4 linked regions of the Saccharomyces cerevisiae S288C genome follow. Changing the gene in region 2 together with the main gene of any one other region gives a genetic interaction. Each region holds a gene or a part of one and is shown on either strand. Other genes may lie near its edges.

The links.
Region 1: mutations in TRM7 (region 2) and YDR262W together harm fitness more than expected from each alone (negative genetic interaction), as found in Saccharomyces cerevisiae (one large-scale study listed by BioGRID).
Region 3: mutations in TRM7 (region 2) and SRT1 together harm fitness more than expected from each alone (negative genetic interaction), as found in Saccharomyces cerevisiae (one large-scale study listed by BioGRID).
Region 4: mutations in TRM7 (region 2) and SPG5 together harm fitness more than expected from each alone (negative genetic interaction), as found in Saccharomyces cerevisiae (one large-scale study listed by BioGRID).

What each region holds. Positions count from the first base shown.
Region 1 is NC_001136.10:991,490-994,452, reverse strand, and holds YDR262W (uncharacterized protein), read right to left. Parts: upstream 1,320-2,963; coding exon 501-1,319; downstream 1-500. Other genes in the region: exodeoxyribonuclease DIN7, read left to right, coding at 1-211; YDR261C-C (gag protein), read left to right, coding at 2,104-2,963.
Region 2 is NC_001134.8:364,287-367,394, forward strand, and holds TRM7 (tRNA methyltransferase TRM7), read right to left. Parts: upstream 1,434-3,108; coding exon 501-1,433; downstream 1-500. Other genes in the region: YBR062C (uncharacterized protein), read right to left, coding at 1,690-2,216, 2,299-2,314; CNM1 (Cnm1p), read right to left, coding at 2,684-3,108.
Region 3 is NC_001145.3:467,945-471,007, forward strand, and holds SRT1 (ditrans,polycis-polyprenyl diphosphate synthase), read right to left. Parts: upstream 1,533-3,063; coding exon 501-1,532; downstream 1-500. Other genes in the region: MYND-type zinc finger protein MUB1, read left to right, coding at 1-218; LAF1 (Laf1p), read right to left, coding at 1,904-3,063. UniProt on the Saccharomyces cerevisiae protein: With NUS1, forms the dehydrodolichyl diphosphate synthase (DDS) complex, an essential component of the dolichol monophosphate (Dol-P) biosynthetic machinery.
Region 4 is NC_001145.3:643,812-647,277, forward strand, and holds SPG5 (Spg5p), read left to right. Parts: upstream 1-1,844; coding exon 1,845-2,966; downstream 2,967-3,466. Other genes in the region: ATP-dependent DNA helicase SGS1, read right to left, coding at 1-1,447; GYL1 (Gyl1p), read left to right, coding at 3,307-3,466. UniProt on the Saccharomyces cerevisiae protein: Required for survival at high temperature during stationary phase.

The sequences.
Region 1 (2,963 bases), on a different chromosome or scaffold from region 2:
TAGAGAAAGAAAATTAAAAGCAAGAAAGCTGTTTAAAGTAGGTCTACTTGGGGGTGAATCCAACTCATTCAATAAGAAAGTGGAGCAACCGCTAGTGGATACGCAGGACGTGTTATCGGAGAGGGAGAATTCTCTTGATAACAAAAACGCATCCTCTATTTATATGACCTCACCAGCAGCGATCTCAGGCACCGTACCATCAATTTTCTAAGTGGTGTATATATATGTTCGAAGGTATTGTTGTAATATTTTCATAGTTGTATTCTTATTCCACCGGCCCCAGCTAAGCATTAATATAAGGATTCGTAAAACAAAATTATCGTTCACATACTAGAGAAAATATAACTATAAAACAAATTGATACCAATGTATATATTATGTTGTAAACTCCATAAAGATAGGCCGATCCTACTCGCCATTATTAATAAATTATAACCAAAAAAAATAAAGAACGCAATTTGTATGGGGTCAAGGAAGTCAAAACCATAAGCAACACATAACTAAGGACCCACCAGGGTGAAATCAACCATCAAAATAACACCATTGCTTCCATTTTCAATGCTCTCGACGGCATGAAATTTCTCGTCTCTGGAGGAAGCTACATAATATACTTCTCCTTCTTTTTTGAGTAAAATATCACCACCAGTTTCCGAATCGCTTTTCTTGCTTTCTGTGAAGTCAATACTCTGCAGGAGCGTACATCCTGGACTCACCTTCTTGTAGGAATTTTTATCATCATTGTACACTACAATATGAGATCTCACAAATTTGGAGATATTCTCTTGTATTGCCGTATCAAGTTCCTTCTCGGTGGCACCATCACTTTCAAGCTTATCAATATTATTCGGAAATTGCCACGGTTTTAAAGTAAGCTGAGAGACAGCCCTGTTCGTTGGTGCAATAATAATCAAATCTTCGTTGGGGTCACTTACTTTGTTATATGTTTCAACATCATTTCGCACATAGCTTGCAAATATTTGGACCTCGTTCACTAATGACAACTTTGATTCTAAGGATAAAGGAGACAATTCAGCCAAAAACTCTTGCTGCTTTCTTTGCTGTGTCCCTAAAATATCATCTAAATTCACTGCGGGTCTTGAAAAGTCACGCATTCCCTTATATCCTAATGGATAAGAATTTACTTGAGAATTATGTAGCCGGGGCGGTATTTCCTCTGGTGCTAACCGCTTGTGCAGCTTGCCATTTGAATCTTTGAAAGTAATTAAGTTGACGACGTTCTTACCTCTTACGAAACTAGGCTCCATTGCCCATATCAAAGAAAAATAAAGCAGCACACTAACAGGTAGATTGAATATCATGGTCGTTTTGTAAGTTTTTATATTATAAGGAGAAGTTATGAAGCAAAAGGGGATGACCGTCTAGTTGTTCTTGAAGATTAGTTAGCCCGATGACCGGATTTATTAACAAAAAAAACTGCTTAATCATTATTAACGGTGATATAAAATATTGACTGAACGAATGCTGAGTAGGCGAGGCAGGCACCTAGTCTCTAAACCCTTCATATTGATCGCTAATAGTTGCTAAAAAAGTGCGCAAGCCCGGAATCGAACCGGGGGCCCAACGATGGCAACGTTGGATTTTACCACTAAACCACTTGCGCTCACAATTGTTGGATTTGTTTTATCATCGACATACCATACCTCAATATGACAATAAATCATGCTAAATGTTCATAAATCACATATGAAACAATTCTTGCACTTCAGCTTCCTCTAACTTCGATGATAGCTTCTCATAACTTATGTCATCATCTTAACACCGTATATGATAATATATTGATAATATAACTTGTTGGAATAAAAATCAACTATCATCTACTAACTAGTATTTACGTTACTAGTATATTATCATATACGGTGTTAGAAGATGACGCAAATGATGAGAAATAGTCATCTAAATTAGTGGAAGCTGAAACGCAAGGATTGATAATGTAATAGGATCAATGAATATTAACATATAAAACGATGATAATAATATTTATAGAATTGTGTAGAATTGCAGATTCCCTTTTATGGATTCCTAAATCCTTGAGGAGAACTTCTAGTATATTCTGTATACCTAATATTATAGCCTTTATCAACAATGGAATCCCAACAATTATCTCAACATTCACCCATTTCTCATGGTAGCGCCTGTGCTTCGGTTACTTCTAAGGAAGTCCACACAAATCAAGATCCGTTAGACGTTTCAGCTTCCAAAACAGAAGAATGTGAGAAGGCTTCCACTAAGGCTAACTCTCAACAGACAACAACACCTGCTTCATCAGCTGTTCCAGAGAACCCCCATCATGCCTCTCCTCAACCTGCTTCAGTACCACCTCCACAGAATGGGCCGTACCCACAGCAGTGCATGATGACCCAAAACCAAGCCAATCCATCTGGTTGGTCATTTTACGGACACCCATCTATGATTCCGTATACACCTTATCAAATGTCGCCTATGTACTTTCCACCTGGGCCACAATCACAGTTTCCGCAGTATCCATCATCAGTTGGAACGCCTCTGAGCACTCCATCACCTGAGTCAGGTAATACATTTACTGATTCATCCTCAGCGGACTCTGATATGACATCCACTAAAAAATATGTCAGACCACCACCAATGTTAACCTCACCTAATGACTTTCCAAATTGGGTTAAAACATACATCAAATTTTTACAAAACTCGAATCTCGGTGGTATTATTCCGACAGTAAACGGAAAACCCGTACGTCAGATCACTGATGATGAACTCACCTTCTTGTATAACACTTTTCAAATATTTGCTCCCTCTCAATTCCTACCTACCTGGGTCAAAGACATCCTATCCGTTGATTATACGGATATCATGAAAATTCTTTCCAAAAGTATTGAAAAAATGCAATCTGATACCCAAGAGGCAAACGACATTGTGACCCTGGCAAATTTGCAATATAATGGCAGTACACCTGCAGATGCATTTGA
Region 2 (3,108 bases):
AGATATGTAATGCGTAAACCCGAACTGAACAATTCGTTTGACCAAAAGGGGCTTTCCTACAAACAAGCAGGGCAATAGGAGCAAGGCAAATGGATCAAGGTGATGCTTATGCATAATTTATACGATGGAATCCTTTGTAATGCTCCGTACTACGGTTTACCACCAACCGGCTTTTGGGTTGTAATATTGACAGATTCACCATGTTCTCAATGGTTCTGTCACAATTCGAAAGTTCTATTACTCGCAAATTCGAAAGCAGATGTTTTAAGAGACGAGGTGAAGTAAAAAAGAAGAAAAATGATTGCCATACTCCTCAATGCTTGCATGTAATATAATATAATATAATTACTGTTTCATTTTCTTTTATATTATACAATGGATATTCTACATAACCGTAACCTATATCGTTTTTAATGATTGCAAGGAAAAGTTGATTTTGTAGATAATCTTATAATGTAGTGACTTATTTAATTGTTTGATTAGAGGTAGTAATATTGCAATCAAACTGATCTAGTGAGTTTCCCGCTCCTTTTTAATTCCAAAGCTTTCTTGTAGGGAGGGTTCGTCGGGCTTTGAACAGGATCTAAGGACGATGAAGTGCCTGCAACCGAAGAAGGTAGGTCATGATAAGTGGCATCTGAGTCGAAACTTTGAAGACTTCCACAAGCCATAAATTCGGCTATGTTTCTCTCCTCTTCATTCCAATGAGACAATTTGTCTGATATACACAATTTATTCAAAAAACAGCCTTGAAAAAATTCATCAACGGATGTATTTACATCTAATTTTGGTGTCCAATTGGATGGTGGGTTATAGCCTAAACAAACAATAAAAGCTTCCAGAGATGTACCTCTTGATGATCTTGGCTTTGCGCAAACGATTTTATCGAATAGATAGCCCAATTGGGAATATAGCATATCTATATCACGACCTCTGAAGATCTTTGCCACAAAAGTTCCACCTTTTTTCAGAATGCATGCAGTAAGTTGCAGCGCACTCATAATTAACTGTTGTTGCACGTATTCGTCAAGATCGTGTAACCCAGTAACATCAGGTGCACCATCACTACAAACAAAATCGGCCTTTTCGTTGCCAAACAGTTTTAGAATCCTCGCCAATGTTTTAGGATGAGTGATATCGGCTTGCAACGTTGTCACATGAGGTATGGGGGACATCGGTTGTAAATCGACAGAGACAATTTTCCTGTCCTCCTTATCTGAACTGGGACTTTCATCAAACAGTTTTCTCGAGAGCACTTGTGACCATGAACCTGGTGCTGCACACAAATCTACAACTCTTTTTAAGTTTGGATCATCCAGGAAATGAAATTGGTCATTGAGTTGAAGTAGTTTGAAAGCAGATCTAGCCCTATAGCCCTGCTCTTTTGCTTTTCTATAGTACAAATCTCTTTTATCTTTGCTGCTCTTACCCATCTTGAATACTTTCTTTTTAAGCTTGCCTTGTACTCATCTACTGTTGTTTTACAGTAATGTTAGGAGCATCGCTTGAAAATTTTCAACTCGCGATAATTATTGTTAGCGCAGAATAATAATACCTAGTAAAAAGTTTATCGTTGCTTTTACTTCATCATGATAATCAAAATACTTGTAGGTCTGTCTTCTGTGAAAGAAGACGTAGTTACCTATTCTACTTAGGTTTGGTGTCTTTATATAATATAAAAGAAAGATATTAACCGTACATACCCCAATCTTCTTCCAGTTCTGCTTCAGTTGTATCAATCTCATTAATGATTCGGTGGCCCATAACATTATCTCTGCATAATGGACATGTTGTACTTCGAGATAGCCAGACAGACAAACACTCTAAGTCGAACTTATGATGGCAATGAGGTAATTCAACTACTAAGGGGTACTCATCTTCTAAATAATTAGTGTAACAAATGGAGCAGTTGTCAGTTGCTTTGAGCTTTTTTTTATTGATTCGTGGTAAAGAGGCTGCAAAAGTATCAGGACAGCCCGCACTCTTGCCTTTATCCATTTCTTGCAACCATTCTTCCTGTAATGATTCTGGAAGCATTTGCGATAATAATCGTAAAAGTAGTGTTGAATCTGAATGTGCATCACCCTCACCACTGGTGTTACCAAAGTTTTGAAATAGACCTTGCAGTTGGGATCTGACCTGTCTTCTCTGCTCCTCCTGTGAAGTTCCTCCTACTTCTTGGTAATCCCTTGAGTTTTGTTGTATTCCATGTTCCTCTAATCTAATGATGAGTGCAGATTAAAATTCGGTTAGTTAATTGGCTTTGGGGAACTTACTTCATAATATATCATTACATACCTTCATATGTAGACATTTTTTTGATTGTGATTATGTTTGATGAATATATCTTTCTATTATTTCTTTAGTAGTTTAGGAGTGGCAAAACTGGTATTATAACGAACTGAGCGCTCCTCGGTGCAAACAAAAGCCGCCCACAACAATTTTGACCAACTTAGGCAAAATGAAGCCATTACTAGAAAACGAAGAGTATATATCATCACAGTAATTCGGGTAGGAGAGTTGGTCACCAAAATGGGACTCATATGGAAGGCAAAAATTTCGAGCTTATTCATCATGGTTGTACCCGTAAAGTTTTTGTTTCCGATATATAGAGTACAGATGTTTTCTAGTTAACAGTTGGCATATCTTACATTTTCCGGATTATGTATCAAATAAACTTTATCTATGAATAGTTAGAGTACCACAGTAGAATCGAAGTTGCGCCTTTATCATTAACTAACAATTTTTTTGTGGGAACCGAACTATTATGTCTCCTGGAACAAATCTTTTGACTTTTAACCCGGAGCAAATTGCGAATCCTTGTCAAATTTTGAACTTCATCATAGCGGATAAGATCCTTATGAATCACTTCATCTAATCGCTCTCGTTTTTCTCGGTATGCTCCAGTTATTTCAATTGGGATGTTGTTATCAAAGAAAACTGGTTTTTCCATGAACATAGTCAGGAAAAGTTCGTCACCAAATTGGCTTTTTATAATCAAAAACGATTTACAGATATCACGAATTTCTCTACTCACAGATTTAGTATTATCTCGAGCAGTGAAGCTTCTCATAATTGAAATATTTCCAGGCGCGTATTGTCTGCCAT
Region 3 (3,063 bases), on a different chromosome or scaffold from region 2:
GATATCATAGGTATTGGTGTCACGAAGTTGGATCAAGTCATATGAGATCCACGAATACTACCACAGGTGTCAATACCCCAAATGAGCCTAGTTCTTTAAATGCCACCGCTACTACAGCAGCTGATGTTTCGAATTCTACCAGTACGTTCACTCCTAATATATCCACCACCGTACCTGATGAAATAAGCAATAGGGATGAAAATAGCATACCTGAGTAAAGTACAAGGGGATTTCGATGACCTAGGTTTAACAAGATCATGAAATATTCATTAACGGAGTTTTTTGTTTTCGCTTTTTTTATTTTTTGTTCCTAATTTTTTTTTTTTTTACATTTTATTAGCTATACACTTGGCGCAAGGATATTTTATATACCGGATATAATAGATAATTAAAAGACTACTAATTAAAAATGATGTAATATGGTAATAGGTATGGAAGAATCAGGGAGTTTTCAGAATGTTCTTTGCCCTCTCTTGGGCTTTCTAGTTTTGCACTTTTACTTATTCATCTCCTGTAACCGAAACTGAAATGGGGGGGTTTGGAAAGTTGTACAAAGACATAGCTGTTTTCTTTTTTTTAAATATTGAAGGAACGCTTTCATGTATTTTTTCAAACAATGAGTGATTCTTCTCATTATATTTTTGAATGGTGGAAAAGAAGGACCATTTGAGAATCATCAGGTACATAGCAAAGAAGCTAAAATTTGGCCACAACGTATCACTAAATTCAATGGTGGCATTTTCATGTACTTGCCATAGCATATAGTCTGAGAGCCTCCTATGCCCACTTGTTCTGATTAATAATTCACATTTATTGGAATGGAAACCCATGTACATTTTATTAGTAAATTTTCTTATATTAATCCTTGGTGATTTATTTTCCAAATGGTCTTCAACTGAATCACGAATAGTATGTAACATATCATTTCTTGAAGTGTAAGGAAAACATATAAATAAAGTGAAATCGTCTCCATCCTGTGTGATTTCTTCCACTTTTTTAATTTTTTTTCTCATTTCTGGAGATAGTAAAGATTGATCACCTACTATTCTTATTTTAGATCCGTATAAGGGATCCTTATAGTCCTTGGCTCTTTTTGCGAATTCATCAAGCTTTACCGTAAACAAATTCATTAGCGTATCTACTTCTTCTTTTGGTCTATTAAAATTTTCAATAGAAAATGCATAGGCGGAAACACATTTTACACCCAATCTTTTGCAGATATACAGTAGTGTTAGTAACGTTAACCCACCAGCTTCATGGCCTTTTTTTACTGGTAGCCTTCTTGACTTGGCATATCTCCGGTTACCATCCATGATAAAGGAGACATGTTCAGGCACTGGCCCTACCCTTAATGCTTTTATCAAAATATTCTGAAGATTTACATAAAACCATGAAAACAAGCTTAATGACATAACCCACGCAAATACTCTCTGAAATATACTTTTCACTGCGAAGCACATCTGTTCTTTGGTTTCTACCAAAAGCCTTTTTAGGGCTACAAACTGAATCTGAATAATACTGGGCATTTTCATTATGGTCAACAGAAACGTCCTATGTTTGAAAGGCAGCCTGTTCTTTATAAGTTGATAAATTGAGAAAAGTGCACCAAATCTTAATCTACTCTGTGTGTATTTTTAGGTCCCTTAAATAACAGAAAAAGTATAGCTTTAGCCGCCGAGGTCCACTCAGTTTGGAGTAGTTACCCTTAACAGGCACTCACTCCGTTTTGTTCTTTCGAAGAGATACGTTATAGTATATCGGCAACAAATGATAGGCTCATTGTTAGCGTTCATTAATTATTAGATTAAAATTTATTTAAGTGTATCGTGTTTCTTTACTTTATGTACGAAGATTAATATGCATTTAAAGGTATCATCCACGGAAAAAAAATACTCCATCAGCGTTAGCGGAAGTTATTAACTACTGTACCGCAGTCTACGCAATAATAGTTTCTATCTTGTTGGTCATTAGCACCAGAAAAAGCCTCAAACCTTGAACCGTTACAAACATTGCAACGGATAGGTAAATTCATTGCGCTCGTTGGAGTGGTAGGCCCATGTGCATTGGAGAAAATAGATGACATGCTTTCCCTTGGTGTTCTTGGCTGTGCATTACTGCCGAGTGTTTTTAGTGATGTACTGCTTTTGGGACATATATTAGAGTATCCACGTCCCGTTGCATAGCCTTTTCCAGTATTAGTATACGCCGCTGCCGGTTGGCCAGCCAAGTTTGATTTCGCTCTCGAGTTGAAGCTTCGACTCAAAGAATGCAAAGAATCAGAACTGTTAAACCTTCTCCGAACCTCTCTATTGTATTCTTCTAGTTTGAGTAACACGCGCTTTCTTATAACAGAGGGCATATCTGCTCTAAACACACGAATAGTCCCTACGTTATCAGTACTGATCAATATCGTTCCAATTGCGTCAACGACATCTGGGATAGCACTGGTGGCGGAAGCATTAGAAATTGAGCCTGGTTTAGAATTGTAGCCCAAAGACGACTCTACATCTGACATTATGCCATCGTCGTTACTCCGACTCAAAACATCGAAACTATCGGATGTCTGAAAAAACTCTAGAGATAGCTCGCAGATAACATCGTTAGACAAAGATAATGTTTTCGAAGTTTCTGGCGGTGCAATGCTAACACAAGTAACAGGGGCATTGTGTGCATGAAAAGAAATGTAATCCGTATTTTTGATATAATGATCGTTGCTATGATGAGGCAAGGGAAGTAAGTTAGTAAGTTTTAAATGATGATGTGGTTTTTCTTCGTTATTCTGGCTGGAAGACCTACTCATTGATTTACTAAATATGCTTCTCAAACTTCCGGACCGAGCCAATCCCTTTGGTTTCCTTTTAGGTTCGTCTTGATCATTCTCTCTATCCGAAGACTTTAACCTCCAGCCGTAAACCCAATGGTCATCACTACTATTTACAACGATTGGCTGACCATGCCAGATGGACAATTGTGCCTTGTGTTGGGAAGATCCGCTATGGAAGCCTTTCAATACCTCTAGAAGCTTCCTCTGTTCTAAGTCAAAAATTCTTATCCTCGAATCAT
Region 4 (3,466 bases), on a different chromosome or scaffold from region 2:
GCGACAAGGTAATTGTGGACCTAGTGTCACCTTCTTGAGAACTTTCCTGAATATTTGCACTAACATCCATATTATCATGATAATCTGTGTCTTGAGTTGGGTCTAGGTCGTCGTTTACCACAAAATCAAAATCGCTTTGATTTAGTAATTCGTTTTCTTCTTTTTCTTCATCTCTAGTAGTCATGTAGCTGGAATGGGCATCATCTTCTGCCTCCATTGTTAACTCATCTTCTTCTCTTTCGACATCCGGATAATCGTCCCTCAAAGATTTACCCATAACATAGTCAAAAGGATCATCCCTATCAGGTATTCTGTAGTTGACTGGTTCTCTTGAACGCATATTTCTCCTTCTTGTAAGTTCATCTTGTTCTTCTGACGTCATGTGGAGATGCGGGAATGCGGGAGAATGTGGAGCCCCCTCCTTCAATATTACAGGAGGGTCACAGTCTATATCATCCTCATCATCCAGGACTTGAATCAAATCATCGTTATTACTATCATTATTGCTATTCTTACCGGTGTTATTAGTAATATTTTGCTTCGCACCAGTGATGGCTAATGCCTTAGTGACGGTAGTCGCAGTAGTACTTGTCAGGTTTGAATTCCTGGAAGATGTATTGTATTCCAAGGGGCTGGGCAGAATGCTTGATATGATATTATCATCTTGTGAAGAAACTTGACTGCGACCTTTACTTTGATCTTTTGACATTCCATCTTTTTTGGCTTTTATGATCTCCTTTTCCAGACTATCTATTCGTATCGACATATTTGATAACTGAGGCCGTATATCCCTACTTAACTGTAGCCTTTTAGCGTCCTCTGACAATGATGTGGATTCGATAATACTACACTTCTGTAGCAATAATTTCGATTGCTCTTTCAATGCCATAATTAGGGAGCCTTGAAGGCGGATCACCTCTAATTTTATATCATTTTCGAGCTGTTTGCCTATACTTGAATTATCGATTACGCTTTTATTGTTATTTCTACTACCTAGATTTCTGCTACTGTCATTTTCGACAAGAGAACTAGCCATGTGCGGTCGAAAAGTATTGAAATTGTGAGTTTTCGAGCCATTGGGCGTCCTCGGGTTCGATACAACACTTGTGCTGGCTGGTATATCAACCATGGGTACGTCAGCATATTGATTCGATGTGGCAGTGTACGAGAGCCATTCTGTATCGTTCGACAAAGTTTGCATGACTTCATGTTGTTTCGTAGCAGTATTCGTTGGTCCAGATGCAGGAATGCTGGTTATAAAGTTTGTTGTTCCTGGTCCACATTCATCTTTGGATGGCGTTGTTGGTGGCGAATTTGTCTTAGGCCTTTTGTTCGCGATGTGCTTTTGGATAGCCTGGAATACGAAATCTTTGTCTTCCTGTAAAGTCGCCGTTTCCTTTAACCATTTGTGCTCCCTTCTTAAGTTATGTGACGGCTTCGTCACCATTACCGCCTTGTGTGTACGTGTATGATTTTTTAAATATATACAACAATAATCTGTATTTTTTCCTTTCCTCTAGCCAATGACTCCAAGCTGGCTGATAAAAACAAACTAAACGGTAAAGCCACAAATCCGAAATGTATCACCAATGATCACCCAGCCTGCTAAGTGCCCTCTATTGATCCGTATATCAGCTTTTAGATCAGGCTCGAGTTTCTTGTTATATGTGCATTGCAAAAGCATAAACAAATCCTGGCAGCCGAAGCCGGGCAATCCACTTCGAAACGCACGGCTGAACTATATAAATATAAAGGACATGTGGAGAGAAGCTTCTCTTCCTTCACATTTCGCATTTCATGATCTAAAGTGGTTCTTTCACAATAGAAGAGCACCAACACGAAATATGGCTGTCGGTGGTAATAACTGGAGCATGTGGCTGCGAATGTCACGGGTCCACCTCAGGCAGATCACGAAGTCTCTGGACCGAACGCTGATCAGTTTGAGCCATGGGAATTTTTCCCACCAATATAATCGCAATATTTTTGTCACTTGGTGGAAGAGCCTATTTGAGGCTTCTACAGCTTTTAGGAGGGCAAGTGGTTTAACGGTATCTCCTCTCACGAGGAGAGGAATCGCAAGGTTTGACCATTTCAGACCTGTTCCCAATGTCAGTAAATTTGCTTCTTTTCCCAGAGTGCCCAAAGGAGCCCCAAGGGGCCTTTTTACCAACTGGAATATGACTACATCAAAGAGATTATTAGGGCAGAGAGCTTATTCGACTTCCAGTATCAAATTTACCCAAGAAGCCGTGAATAACATGACTATATCTTTGAGGTGTTTTTTCAACTCACTAGGCGGATTAAATCAGTGCTCCCACTCTAATTCCTGCAAAGCTTATCAGAATGCGTCTAATGTTACCTCTAAACAGGATCACGTCCAACCAGTTGCCCTTAAGAAGTTATCTCAAAAGGATATCAATTTCATTCGTAATTTAGAACTATTTAAGATAATGAAGACCCAGAATGAAGTCGTTGATGAAACAAGCGCATATTACATGGAAAAACCAGGTTCCTATATTGAATTTACCATTTCAGAATTTAACGTTAATGGGACATTCTCCGCACCTTTGTCATTTTTAGATCCTTCTTTGTTAGCGGATTTGGATGAAATGATTAGAAATTACAAATACGAATTAAAATCAATATACAGTAGTGTTGACATGATCTTGCAGAATTATGGATCATTGCCGATAACTTTTCATCGAAATAAGATTCGAATACATTTTCCAAACTCAACTGTGGTGGAAACAGAAAAACTAATTGCAGGTCTGAATATTGCTACGGGTGTTATTTACGCAGATACGTCTCCCGATATCAGTCTAGAAGGTACAAATTTGAATGCTCTGGTTAATGTTGACAATTCAGGAAGCGTATGGTCTTTTGTTAAGGAGCCCTCGTTTCCCTCTAGGAGCGCTTTTTCACCTATTTTATCAGATGCATCCTATGATACTTATGAATTGGTCTAGCAAAGACGTTGTTTCATCGCGCTATTACCAAGAAGGTTACTTTACTTGTTCTTGCACATGGACGCACGTTGTGTGTTCATATATATATATATATATATATATATATATTTGTGCTTGTTTTCATTGTCTCTATAGTTAATACATTCTATTTTTATCGTTATATTTGCATTCTCTTCGCATAAAAACTTCATGAAAATTCGGCAGAAAATAAGCCATATATGTACTTTATCCATAGGCAAAGAAAAGCACTTAACGAGAATATACAACAATTGCACTAGTACTGCATGTATATACTCTTATGATTATAGCGGCAAGAAAACAAATATAAACACACTAACAGATGAATTCGAATGAAGATATACATGAAGAACGCATTGAAGTTCCACGAACTCCCCATCAAACCCAGCCAGAGAAAGACTCTGATCGCATCGCTCTCAGGGATGAAATATCAGTACCAGAAGGCGATGAAAAAGCATATTCGGATGAGAAAGTAGAAATGG